Drosophila melanogaster: one gene and its partners. The protein of the gene in region 1 interacts with the protein of each later gene in a pairwise test. Each region holds a gene or a part of one and is shown in the gene's direction. Other genes may lie near its edges.

The links.
Region 2: the proteins of CG11125 (region 1) and osy interact in a two-hybrid assay, tested with the Drosophila melanogaster proteins (one large-scale study listed by BioGRID).
Region 3: the proteins of CG11125 (region 1) and CG13868 interact in a two-hybrid assay, tested with the Drosophila melanogaster proteins (one large-scale study listed by BioGRID).

The regions. Positions count from the first base shown.
Region 1 is NT_033778.4:7,445,730-7,450,538, forward strand, and holds CG11125 (uncharacterized protein), read left to right. Parts: upstream 1-1,743; 5' UTR 1,744-1,924; coding exon 1,925-1,982; intron 1,983-2,057; coding exon 2,058-2,526; intron 2,527-2,582; coding exon 2,583-2,890; intron 2,891-3,053; coding exon 3,054-3,212; intron 3,213-3,264; coding exon 3,265-3,437; 3' UTR 3,438-3,688; coding exon of another isoform or gene 3,689-4,039; 3' UTR 4,040-4,266; downstream 4,267-4,809. Other genes in the region: Fa2h (fatty acid 2-hydroxylase), read right to left, coding at 672-1,160, 1,225-1,452, 3,689-4,039.
Region 2 is NT_033777.3:26,316,769-26,321,375, forward strand, and holds the start of osy (oskyddad), read left to right. Parts: upstream 1-1,586; 5' UTR 1,587-2,205; intron 2,206-4,607.
Region 3 is NT_033778.4:20,313,897-20,318,907, reverse strand, and holds the start of CG13868 (uncharacterized protein), read left to right. Parts: upstream 1-1,990; 5' UTR 1,991-2,457; intron 2,458-2,912; exon of another isoform or gene 2,913-3,613; intron 3,614-5,011. Other genes in the region: CG13871 (uncharacterized protein), read right to left, coding at 1-1,500.

The DNA.
Region 1 (4,809 bases):
AAACAAAACTTTCGCTGGATTCTTGGTAGTGTGACCAAGCAACGCCAATGAGAAATTCCACTTAAGACAGGTCTTAAACAATTATCTTAAGCTAATTTTAATAATATAATATTAATTATTAAACAAACTTGAACTGATTGTACCAGATTTGTATGAAATAGGTAAATGAAAGTGTTCATACAAACCGTCTGTCTGCTTCTTTATTTATTCGATTTTAAACAAAAATATTTAAACGCTCCAGAGTGATGATAAGGCATTTACCAAAGGAATTAAAAGTTAATCAAAGTATTCCCTCTCATATATAGGTAAGGTACCAAACTTCTAATGTAAACTTTGGTGACGCATCATAAAATTGCCGAAAATTTTTTGTTTTTCCCCAAAATAGTTCCAAAATAGTTCCAATAGTTCCTTTGATTGCCCAGTTTTCTGTTTTCAAAAAGGATTTTCCATTTGTTCTTTGGTATCATTGGAAGTGTATTCCTGTTTAATAGAAATTGGTAAAAGTCTTACAAATAATTCTTAAGCCTAATGCTCAGTATTCAGCCTACACAAATAGGCTAAAAACCAAATTTCCGATTTGATTGAACTATTTGCTGCGGCAGCAACTCTGTTGCGTTGAAAACTGAATGTAATTTGTTCTATAGTAGCACTGTATTAGCCATTTATTGCAGCTAGGACCAGCGCAGTTGGTATCTCAGCTTGCGGAGATGGATTCTCGTTTTGAAGACGACATCCCACAAGGGACTGCTGATGCCGTAACCGAGAGTTTGGTGCGAGAAGTGGTGGTGGTGATGATAGCGCTTCATGTGTACAAAGGCCCATAGCGAAGGGTTCCCATAGTGCAGGTAGTAGTGCATCATATCGTAGCACAGATAGCCGGCCAGAGCTCCAGACAAGATCACTCGCGGATGGGACAGGACAAAGCTGAGCGGGGTGTAGATGACCGCGGCGAGCACTGCGCCGGGAAGGGGCGGAAACACCAGTCGCATCGGATCGAAGGGCACCTTGTGGTGCAGGCCATGGATCATGAAGTGGAAGGTGCATAGCCAACTTCCGCTCTTGTTGCTCAGCTTCACGTGGAACACCCAGCGGTGCAGTGTGTACTCCAGGAAAGACCACAGGAGCACGCCAAATAAAAAGTAACCGGAGAACACAGCCAGCTGCAGAAAGAAGATACTTTTAGAAGATCGTATCCAAGAATGCGAAGATTGCGCGACTACTCACCTGGTTGCTATCCTGCCAGGCGGTGGTGAACTCCTCCACGGCGCATTTCACGATCACTGGTATCCAGAACAGGGGCACCAGCCACCAGGGCGTCTTGGTGCACATCTCCAAGTACCAAGGGTCAAAGAGACGCAGTGGCCTGTCCACCGGCTTGTGAACCCACTCATCGTAGCAATCCGTTATGTTAGCTATCTGCGGAAGCATTGCCTTAGACCAGTCCACTAGGTGCTGGAATTCATGAATTTACAATAGGTTAGTCAATAAATTAATACAGTATGTATTACCATAAATTGGTTTGGTTAATTACCTTTGAAAATTAAATATTTAAAATTAGAAGCTGTGCAGAGTTTTTATTTTATTTTATATTTTTTTATTTATTTTATTTTAACTTTACTATAATTACAGAATAGTAAGAATTTCACTTGATTTCTACTTGCTTTTTTATTTAATATTTACTTAAACACTAGGACATCCCATAAACCGTTAGTTGGCTCGAATGTGGCCAGCCGCGGGTCAGCACCGAACCGATATATAATGTTATCGGGCATCGATGAGCAGGTACAATCACAAGCAGCTGGTTCAAAATTGTCATTTGAACCTGTGCCTTACTTCACACAACGACGCAGTTTCCACTTGTCGTAGTCGAGATCACATTTCTGGAGCCCCAGCCGTCTAGTTATAGTTCGGGAGTAGGTGGAACATGTCGAATACTTCAGTTCGCCCGATTCCAACGTTAAAGGGCATCTTTTCGGTGCCGCGTAAGATTTCTTTTCCAAACAGCCGCTTGGCCATGGCAACCAGTTGGTAATTTGTTTTGGTCTCCGTTCCCACAGGCGTCACACAGTCCCGAAACTTCCTCAAGGAAAACAAGGTGAGCCTGCGCTCGCTGGAAAAGTCCACCAGCCAGAAGTTGGCCGCTAAGGAGCCGACGCGCCCGAAATGGATGCCCCCGCTGCGACGCTCTTCCTCCGTGATGGGAGACTCGAAGGCGGAGAAACCAGCAGCTAAGGGCAAAACTATAAAACAGAACTCGTTGCAAAATGGCCGCAGCACCTCTCGCTCACAGCACCAACTGGCCGTGGCCGTTCCGGCGGAGGGGGAACGCTTCGATGGCCTGGAGGAGCGCAATCCCATCTTATATGACCCGTCGGAGAACTTAGAATCCGAGAATCTCCAAGAGCCTTCGTCGGATACAGACATTGATCGCTGTCAATCGTGTGGCACGAATCGGAGCTCCACCAGCATAGCCATCCAAACTGAGGACATTACCGACGAACTCTATCTAACAAATGCTCTGAAGAAGTATGACTTTTTGCACCAAACTCGAAGGTTTTCACAAAGGTTTATCTTATCCGCAGATGTAACTTTGATGCCAGATCTATACTGGAGGAATCCGGTGCAAAATACGGGGAAAACTACAAACCCATGCAATATGAAAACGAGGAAGATTTGGAACAGTTGCCGCTTTCGGCGCGTTCGAACTCCTCGAAGCAGAGTCGCTTCAACATGTCCGAAATGGAGGCTATGCCCATGACCGAGGCCGAACCTGCAAACTACGGCGCCTCAGACGACGAGGCTCCACTCAGTGCCCGTAGTCGTTTCACAACGGCCTCCAATGTCACCACCATAAGCTCTAAGTCAAAGCGTCGTGAGCATAAACTAGGATGTGAGTTTATCCCTTGTTTACCAATTGTCAGCGACAGTAATGACAAAATTAAATATCTTTGATAATTATTTCATATATAATCTATAATTATTCTCTATTTTAAATATCTTATATTCCCTCCTGATTTGATTTGAACTAGTCATGAATTTGTACTTTTTGACAGCCCGAGATGAGGTGCGCTTGCCGCGTTACCTGGAAAAGCAGAAGCGCGAGAAGGCGGTGGCCAAGCAGCTTGCGGAATCGCTGGATCCCGACTGTCCGCGTGGCCATGTGTTGCTCAGCGATCAGGACCGACTGACGCACCTCACTAATGCTAAGAAACGTGAGTTAATGTTACTACTATAAGTTTGACCCTTGCTAACGAATCTTAACAGGCTACGAACAGCTGGTTAATGAACTGAACCACATGCCCATGACTGCACAGACGTTGAGGGTGCGCAACCGCAAGGCGGAGATCGACAAGGAGCTGACCACCGTGGAGGAGGACATCCGCATATACTCCAAGGCAAAGGTCTTCGTGCTGGCCAGCAAGTCGCGACAGTTGTGAGAACTCATGCTACATAGCTCCCAAAAACATTAAAGCATTCCATCGACTGACTGACCGAGCGAGCTACTGGAATCTTGGATTTGCAAAACACGCGTGTTCCTTTCAACCATGCCTTACGTTAATAATATATTTTTTAGCTGAGATTTGGATCGCAGACCTACCCCGCCCCGATAGCATTGTGACCAACTTAACGTGCGATCCAGTCGACCAGCAACTAGAGTTACAGATTAAAAACCGCTCATCCAACTTACCTCCATACTATCGTCCACCTGGTTATTGTTCTTGTCCTCCGTTTCCCTGGGCCGTTGTCGCAAAGTCCCATCTTCATCGTGATGCAACGTTTCCCTTTGGCTCGACTTTGGTTTCCGAGAGTCCTCTGGATCGATTTTGTACTCCCTCATCAAGTACATGGCCGCATCCGAATGTGGCGGCGCCTTTAGGAAGCGAGCTGTCATGTCCCCGCTGTTGAGACCTTTGAGTGTGTTTATGCCTCCCGGATGCTTGTGCATAAACCTGGACAAATCGTAATACTGCTGGCGATACTTTACTATGAACTTGTCGTTCGACTCCGCTTCCTTTGGTATATCCATGTCGATGGGCATCAATTTGGCAACTGCAGTGCGAAAAACAATCGGATAAGACTTTGCTGTTCCTTTGCGAGCATGATACTCTGCCACTGATTATCTTTGGAATTAATTACTTTGCGTGCCCAGCAGCAACATGATGCCATATTGTATCGGACACGCTCAATTAAATATATAATTCACCTCCTCTTAGAGTTATTTTGTACACAGATCAAATGTATCATCCCCAAAAAACTGAATTAAATAACCCTCATTGGCGCAGCTAAATGAAATATTTCACACAAATATATTTTAAGTAAATCTCCTTAAGAACATATTGTTTAATTAAAAAAAAACAACAGCTATCTATCTGCTGAGATAATTGGTTACGAATTCATAATTTTGACCTTGATGCTTATGGTATTTACACAAATAAAACGACAATGTATTATAAATAATCCTGTTTTTATTAATAGTTTTTGAAGGGATGCAGCATTTCCTACATATTTGATATGCGCACTGTATAGTATTTGCCATTTTCATGATTCATAAAAAAATTTCACAGCCAAACCTACGATAGCGTAATCTATTGAAACCAAAATATAAGTATAGAAAAAGTATCTGCACCTATTATCTGCATTCCAAGGTATCCATTAAAGTCAAAGTTTTGCTTATCAATTAACTTCTATCCGATTTCTAGTGACCCTAAGGATATATTATTTTGACTTCCTTTTAGTTGAAGAAATTTTGGATTGATACCTTCTATTCTGGCGTTGAACTTATAGGATTCCCTAGTTGGGTGTGGGAAA
Region 2 (4,607 bases), on another chromosome or scaffold:
GCAGCTAATCTCTGCCAGCAGTCCGGCGAGCGTCTCCCCATGGGCAAGTCCAATTCCAAACTCCGTTGGGTGCCTGTGCCCTGGGAAAGCTGTCAATACACGTCTAAAAATTAACTGATTATTTAACTTAAATGTAATATGTCCTGCAATACTTTTACAAATTAAAGAATATCAATTTTGGGTTGTCGAAAAGAATCTTCTACATTACCAAAAATTTTTGTAAGCATTTAATTATAATTTTTCGGCTTCATTCAATTTTTAGACGTGCAGTTCCCACTTAAATAGTGTTGCGTCATTATTCAAAATGTCAATGTCATTTCAGTTTCTTGTGCTCTCTGGCGGGCTCCTTTCTCGCTCAGTGACACTGCAGACTCGTTTTTTGGTGGCTGAAGTCTCAACTCACTGCACTGACAGCTGATGATTTTGGAAGGATAATAGAGGGGTGTCCTCCCGAGATGCCCCGGCGTTTTGTCATGCTTAACTGCCGCTGCTTTTGAGGCCTTCTGACAGTCCCCCCAGTTTAAAGTTTCATCGAAACTGTGAACAATGGTGGCTGGGCTGTGGATTCCAGTGCCATTTTCTGGCCTGCCTTAAATCATAAGCTCAATATTAGCTTTTCCGGTTATTTCAGCCACTTGTGTCCCTTTTCGTATTTACTTGCTATTTGCCGAGTGGTCCGCAATGGCCATCAATTTATTTAACAAATGACAAACGCTTTGCAAATCAAACAACAATAACTAATAGACAGTTTGTTTGCCGTCCGTTTGTCCGTTTATTTTTTGTTGTTCCAGTTATTTAGGTCCCGAGGGCCGCTTATCTTTGAGTCCAGGCCCGAACAAAAAGGCCGCGTGTGGGATCTGGCGTTTCAATCAGACAACCGCAATAATGCACCATCGAAAATAAGCGATATAAATGTGTGTGTCTAAAATACGTTTGCATTATAGCTAATAACCGATTTGCGTGCCCAACGAACATAAGCCAACTCTGAGGTCGGAGGTCGCATTTGGCCGACGGCATTGTTGCTGCTATTATCGCTCGGGCCTTGTGTGTTTTTGTTACGGCACAATGCACCATACATGATAATCTTTTATTAAGTTTTCGTATGGGCAAGTCCTTTCAGCAGGCTAGTTGCACAAGTGAAATTGTTATTTAAGTTATTAAACTTACTAAATACAAAATAAATATTTTTTTAAAAAAGAATTGTTGATTTTTTGTATATCAAAAAGAGAAAGCTAAAATATATAATTTTTATTTATAATATAGCAAGGACATGAACCACGACGCATTGTGCATTGAACGATCAAAGCTCAATTCCCAAAATGATCTGCTGTAAGCTTAGCTTAGCAAAGACTTCCACCGTGACCCAGATCTGTTCCCACCTGTGCTAGTCAAGTGGGTAGAGTTTCGGCCACAGAAGTCCAAGCACTCCACTTACTATTTTTGATCTTTTAGACGCGTCGTTTAGACGGCTTCATAAACGCGGCTATAAACAAGAGACGTCGCTGCCGACGCCGCTGTCGATAAGGCCGATGCTATTTTCGAATTGGGCGATCTGTCAGCGCTACGAAGTCGGTTTTGTTGAGTTGATCAGTTGAATTCACGTCGTCGGCGAGTCGAGAAGCAAAACGCGGAAACGCTTGAGCAAACAAAGCCGAGAACCTGAGCTGAGTGTTAAGATACTTTTAGTGTGGCTTTGCGCGCGGATTTTTCGCGTTGACATAAACCAGAGCACTTTGCAGATCGTAGTTTCTTGCAAGCGTTGTGAATGAGCCAATTTTAGCGGCGATTATTGTGCAGTGCAGCTTTCAAATCCATCTCAGTGTGGTAATTTTTCAGTTGGCTAATTGTGCAAGTAAAACAAAAATTGAAAACAACAACCACGCTTCGTCTAGTCGGCAGTAGTATCTGTGTACGTTTCGGTGTATCTGTATCTGTGTCCGCTCAATCTTTGCTCAATCGCAATCTTTGGGCATTGCCAAAACAGGTTAACTAAAAGCAAACGTGTTCTTTACGTTTCTGTTGACTTTTGCCAGCCGCAAAGCCAAAAGTTAGTCAGCAAAAAATAACAAAACAACAAAAATAAAGGGGGAAAATACAAATTACGAGGAAAATCAATAACAGACTGTTGCCACAGTTCCTGCAATTCGTGGTTTCTCGCCGGAATAAAAGCAGCTGCGGTCCATTTAAGAACTTCAAGGAGCACAGGTAACCGCAGGCCATTGGCCTCCTTCACATTAAAATGCCAAGGGCTGCTGTGGATGCTGAGGGGATTTCCCACTCAACCAGCTCAAGGATGCCCAGATAATGCAGGGCTTCGCATTCCCAAAAGAAAAAACCATTCAGTAAAAACACCAGCTTCGTCAACGACCTGCTCCAATTCGATTTATGCAGCCCAAGGTCAACAGCAACGGCTTTAAAATGCAAACTCAGGCGAAGTTGAATCTCCAAATGAATGCTTCTGCTTTTGCTGCTGCCTTTGTTGCCGCGACTTTTGTCTCGCGTTTTTTGAACTTTTCAGTTTCGGACGACTTTTGTCGAGGCGGTGTAAAGATGTAGCAAATGACTTAAGGTTAAAGCACAGAGAAACCATGTTTAAGAACTACACTTTAAGTGATTTTTTTTTTGGTTTTTAAGTGATATTTGGATGTTACTTTATCTAATACTTTATTTGACTAAACAATTAAATAAATATTTATTGGCAATATATGTAGGTTTTTAAAGAAAAGGTCTGGTTGTAAATTTAGAGTACTTCTGCATATCAGCTGTCCTTCTGCGAAGGGCTCATAACTCTGGCTCTTTAACAGCCGTTTGTAATTATTTAATTTGCTGACTGCAACCAGGCACTTAACCTTTCCAAAATTTACACACAAACCGCAACAATGAGCGTTGCCGCAAGAACAACAACAATAATCGAGGTGACCGCGTTACTTGGTACAATTAAAACCGCAAAACTCGACTCGTTAGGTAACTTTGACCTGCTCAGCAAAAAAAAATTAGTTTTAAACAACTAAAAGCAGAAAGGTTACGATGCACCCACTAAGTTAAACGATTACATTTAAAGAGAAGCGCCCAAAAAAGGAACCCATTAAGCTCTGACTAATTTTTAGATGATGGTTTAACTAATGAAAAATTATTAAATTAATGTTGGTCAAGGCGTGTGCTCATATTAATTATTTCACATGAGTTGCGCAAAACTGGAAATCAAGTGACTAACACTTTTAAAATTTTTGCCAGGAAATCCATAAAGCCGATGAGGAGTATGTAGATCCGCGCAAGAGGTTCTTAAGATCTTGCAAGTCAGAATGAACGACACGAAACTCGCTTTTCGCATTTTATTAAAAATGAACTTAGTCCACAACAACTCAATCAACAATGACTGCCCACCGTCTTTGTTGGAGCATGAGTAATAAATTTCGCATTCATCAGCTGCCAATTCTATTAGCGGAAATTAAATAAAACTTTTCGGGTCATTTTTTCGCTAAATTGAAATAATTCTGCTTAAATTGCTAATTGTTTTGACCAAAAATTCTAATTAGTGCATCCGTGTTCAATTTGAAGCACTCGTTAGCTGCCGATTGCCGACGGCAATAAATTGCATTTACCATTTCGGCACTTGTTTGGGACTTTTTAAAGTGCAATTAACGCCAAGCCACTGCACAATTATTTATTTATACATTGCATGTTTTTTTTTATATCACTTTTCCATTTGTCGAGCTTTGACAACTCTTAACTGTGGGAAGTGGGCCTTTATTGAGTTTGTCAAGGCGCATCGTCGTTTTGGCCATTTGTTACATTTGCATTCCAGCCAGCGGATGCACATGTAATGGCAATTGATTTACAATCTATGCGAATCAATATAAGCCGAGTAGCAAAAAAATTATAGGCATATACGTGGGTATGTGTGTATATAATTATTCAATTAAACGACCACACAGCGAGCCAAAGGTAACCGCCAATAAAAGTATTCGCTCAAATACAAATAAATATATTTTCCTTTTTTGTACGATTTTCCGGCGTGAGACATGGCTCCACGAATGCAATCAAAGTCGAACTTTATGGACACGAAAAAAAAGTAAAAAAAAATCAAAACGACAGCCAAAAGTCTGTGGCAAATTTAATTTATCTGTTTGATTTTATTTGCAAAAAGTGTCAGATATGTGAAAAACATCATAATAAATGAGCAGCGCGTGAGAAGCCAAAGAATGTGGTATAAAAAAGATATATTTATTTCTGGATTCATAAAATGAATTGCAAAAGGGTGTTATAATTGCCCTTAAAATACTGATACAATAATTGTCAATTTAATTTCCCATTTACCTACAATACCAAGCATTTAAAAGTTTATATTTGAGTTGAAACGACATGTAATGGGACCATTATAAAATATTTGTTGCCCTAATTCATCGCTGTCTTGGCCCATTAATAAATATCAATATAATCAATTTGCAAGTTTCCACACTGACAATTCAGTCAAGTTTAATTATTGTAAATAGCGTTTGAGAAGGAAGTAAAATCAATTATGCAAATACCCCTAACAAAGTTATGAAACACGTTGGGCAAATGGCCGGAATAAAATTGACTATGATGCGAAATCAATGGATTCAATT
Region 3 (5,011 bases), about 13 Mb from region 1:
CTTGTGTTTTTTCTTCTTTCTTGGTCTCAATTCAAATGTATTGCCTGGATGCAGTTCATCATCGCTTGTGCCCTCCAATTGAACAGCATTCATTTGTGCTCGCGGCGACGAGCTAAGAGAATCCTTTCTGGGAAAGGAGGACATTGGCTTGACTACCACGCTCAAGGCTTCCAGATTGATACGTCTGTTGTCGTCGGAGGTTTCTGGTTCCAAAGGAGTAAAAGGCTCCATGGAATTTATGGACTTCAGTGGCTTTCGAGGCTCCTGAAAAGGTTCCAGGCGTGCAGCAGCCGCCGGAGCAACCTCAAACCTCTTTGGCTTCATTGGCCTCCTTAGCTTCATCTGCTGCTGGTGCTCCTCCCACACCCGATCCTGCAGTTTCAACTCCTCCTCCTTGGCCACTGCCAAGTCGTACAAGCTCTCTTTTTGGCTCGCTGGTCGAATTCCAAAGGAAAATACCCTGGATGGTGGCCTTGGCTCGGGTTTTTCGATACGTTCAGACGTCTTTGTTGTTGGTTCTTTCTCTTTAACGTGGTTCTCCGATACATCGTCGTCCGTTGAGTGACTTAGCAGTTCCAATTCCAGGTAGTTGAGATTCTTGAGCACCGATAGGGCATGCTGCTTGGTGGCCAAAATGATTTCCAGCAGCACCTTGGCACCTCCTAGCTTTTGAGATTTCGTCGATATGGGGCACTTATTACTGGGCTTAATCCTTTGAGCAGATGGCTTTCGCGTCGTTGGTGGACGCGAAGGTGCGGAAGGCGGAGGACGAGGTGTTGGTGGAGATGTGGGAAGCGGCTTGAGCGGAGGATCGGATGAGGGTTCCGGAAGGCAGAAAGTGGTGGGACTGCGCGTTGTGGTACTAAGGGTCGTCCGATGAGTCGTAGGGCTTCTTGTGGTGAACCCGTGGGATCGAGCCGTGGTGCCACGACAAGGCCCAGACTTCCTGGGCTGATCGACCTTGGAGCTAATGACCTTGGCCAGCAAATTGGCTGTTGCCACAGCTGGTTTTCCATCCAGCTGCTGGTCGTTTAAGTAGCCACCCAGCACCCTCTTGAGCTCACGATCGGACTTACGCTCATTCAAATGCTCATTGAAGTTCATCCTGGCCAGGGACTCGAAGGGATCATCCACATCCTCCTTACCCAGACAATCATCGTGCATTCCCTGTCCAATGGCGCCGTCATCAATCGGAAATTTGTACAAGTTATCTTTGAGCATCTGGGCGGCAACATTCGTGGGACCAACCAGATAGTGTTCCGATTTCACCTTGCCAGCAGCAGCCATTTTTTCTGGAATTCCCAATTTCTGCTCCATGTCGTCCAGCCGCTGGAAGAGCAGTTCCGGATCGGAGAAGTATCGCTGCTCCGAAGGCGCCAAGTCCCTTCGCTCGCTGCCGAACGGCCGCCTGGGCCACGAGGTATCCGCATATGAGTACCTGCGTACTGATCTTCCTTCGGATCGGTCGGTCGCTTGTCCAACGCTCGCCAGGATTGCCATTGCCAGTAATGAAAGTCGGACTGCGCTGTGGCTCAAAATCCGCGTTGACATTGTTCTCATAAGCACAACATCTTGCTGGAATTATCGCCGAGTCATGTTTGTAAAATTCCTTATATTCGAAATCAGTTCCATGACATGTTATGCTCATTGGTTGTTTTTATGTTTAAATAATTTTTTAAAAATCTTCTATAATTAAAGCGAAGAATTCTAAAAAAAAAAGTATACATTAAAAGTGAATTGGTAGATTATTTGCCCAAAGAACTCAAGTGGTCAAGTAGAGTTTAAATGGTAGTAAATAATCTTTTTAATATTTTGTTGAAAGAAGGCAGTCATATTTTTCTTGCTCAACAAAGGACGACGTCAGGTCGAACTTCTAAGGACACGGAGAAGGCTTGTTCAAGCAACAAAGCATAACGGGAATCAGTGGTTGGAAGGTTACTGGAAATCGGACTGGAAAGTGGAAATGCTGTGCTCATTCAGTTCGTAAGCCACAGTCGAGTTTTTCACGTCCAACTGTGCAGCACATCCTCGAAATAAATGGACATATTAAATACAAACTAAATTATAATAAATTGTGAAGTTAAGCGAAAAACAGAGATTTCCCATATCTCCCTGAAAGTTTTGTGTCATAGGCGTGTTTTCAAGAGTTTGCGAACTCATCGTTAAATGACACTCAAACGCAAAAGGCACAAAAACTAAACGCTAAACGGGGTCCGAAATCCTTAGTTAATGCCTTAAATACAAGCGGAAACCAAGTGTTGCGAAACCAAGTGCAATGACTGTCCTCAATATGCACGCCAAAATGATAATATTGATTTTATTTTTCTACAACGGTTCCTACAACTGGAGTAAAAAGCAGTAAGAGGCTCCTGGCTTCCACGCATTTCCTGCGGCAGGCGGCGTTTCATTTCATGTGTGTGCCGTCCTGCGATTGATAATACTCCCAATTATAATAAGGTAATGGGCTCCTGGCTTCTGTTTCCTGGCATCTCCAACTCCCTCTATTGATTTTGCCACTTGGCCAAATGACTGCGGTAACCAGGCAATTTGAGCCAAAAAGCAACACCAACGGGGAGCAGACAACAAAGAAATTGTCAATAAAAGTGCGCAAGAGCAGGGCATCCCCAACGCGACAGTGGCGTCCCGGAATATAAGGCCCAGTTAACAACTAGTAATATTTCAATAAATGAATGATTTCTTTTGTAAAAAAAGAAGAAGAAAACACAAATATTTGGAAAAAAAAAGTACACAAAGCCTAGTGCTCTTTTCTAGAATTAATGTTTATGAATTTAATATAAACATTTATTGCAGTCATTTTGTCAAGGTAGTTTCTTTAGACAAAGCTATATATTAACTTTATATTTATTTATCTTAACTTGTTATCATAAGTAATATTTAAGTCAGGACATCGAGTATACACATTTGAACGCCCTGGAGTGTTGGGCTCTGTGTTCTCGTTCCTCCTTCCAGGACTTCCAGCCTCTGTTCCGTGTGGAATGTGCATAGCCTTCCAGCGCCTGCGCCCTGGTGTCCTGTTGTTTTGATAGTAAAAAGGACATGGCAGTGCAGTTGTTTACAAACACGCACGCCAGACACGCGACACGTGGCGCAGGGAAGTTTCTGGAAGGCATATCGGGTCATGGATGTTGCTGGTTGATAGTGGGAGTGAGGAACACCGAATCTCGAGCGGATCCCATATATTACGCCCATTCCAAAGGCCGGCCGGCTGGGACGACTGGGCCGACTGGGCCGACGTGGCGGATGAGCGATGTCTGCCAACGGTGACGTCATAGTGGGCCAGCGACATTGAACTAGTTTCATCAGCACACCGCTCACATTTCACCAGTGACGTCAATGGAGAAAGCCGCACGTATTAAGCCAATAAGGCTTAAGTCAGCTCGACCTCCGAACTTTGTCTTCCGATCCAATAAAAAACACAACTCATCCAATAACATTGGCGACCAATTGTTATTGGCCTGCCTCGTAAATCGTCTGCCACAACAGCCCTGAGCTTCTTTTGCGTCGCGAATTCATTAGCTAATTAATAATTATGAATTCGATTGATAGTTTATTTATTTGAAGCTTAGACATCTGAATCGATGTCGCACTGTTTATTTGCTTCCTTCTTTGGCTTTCAAAATAGGATTGCTGGTCCAAATAAATTGTTATGGAACATAGATAAGTGTGGTCTGTGGTAATAATTTTCATTTTTTTATGATTACTCTCCAGATAAGTAATCATATTTCGAGTAGCCTTAAAGCACTCAAAATAGCTAAATAATCAGCCAATTCCCTTTCAAAGTGCGCAGTCTTTATAACTCTCAAGAACTAAGTTTTCTTCAAGCCGAAAAGCAAAAAAAAAAAACTTAACAGATTGCCTTCTCGCATTGCAATTGCTGTTTTTCTAGTTTCATTCTCTTAGATATTTGAATAACCTTGGGCTGGTGCAATACACTAAATTCAAATTGCACCATCAAAAAATGTTTGTCTACATCTCGGCAAACACGGCGAGAATTTCATTACGACGCAGTTATAAAGATCTCGACTATATGGCCGCTATATAAAACGACCCACCAAATGGGGCGGTATGGTGGGCGCAGGGGGCGTGGCAGTCGGCCTGGTTGGCACAATCCGTAAACAAAAACAAATGAAAAGCGCCACAGCATTTGGCATTGTTCCGCATGGCGGTGGGGCCTCGAGAAAAATGGGATCACAAGAACAGCTGCCAAAGGCGCCCTAGGCCTACGATTTGGATTACAGTGTAGCATGTAATATATTTTTAATCTGTTCAGACAAAGAAGTAATAAAGTTGCATATAAGTTTAAGGATTATAAGTTTAATAATGACATTTGTTTAACTAACGAAGCACTAACTAAACAATTATGAAAACATTTCTAAGCAGTATTCTTTTCACCTGTCATTATCTAGTCTTATGTTTATGTTATGTTAAAAATTCACTGTAATTAAATCTTTTGTTTTCGCAAACAAGCTGTTTACATTGTGTAAATCCCATTGGATGCCAATTAGTCTGTGACACTCGCAAAAGCCTGAGCCCGTGCGTAAGCATTTATAATATTAAGTATACGTAAACGGGGGGAGGGGCCCTTTTCCCGGGCAACCTTGGTTGCTTGCAACCAGTTGGCATTTCGAGTGGCACCTAAGCTCTTTCGCATTCGATTTAGGGAAAGTTTACAGTTTGCAGAATGCCAGAGTATCTGAAAAGTGCATCCAATCGTGTGATAACAAATACAATCTCTGGGGACAAATTTTCCACTCTGTGGGTCATAAAATTCAAGGTTTTCCATTCTAAGGGGAGAGCTAGGCACAAAAATAGATCATAAACAACAGTTGACTCAGTGCGATAAGCTTAGTAACTAAAATCAAAGTAAGCAAATCAACTGATTGCGTGACTGACTGACTATCATGGGTGTTTATTATTATCATGAGCTCACAAGACCGAATTTATTTGCTAATTGTACACCGCAAAATACAAATATATACACATATATAAT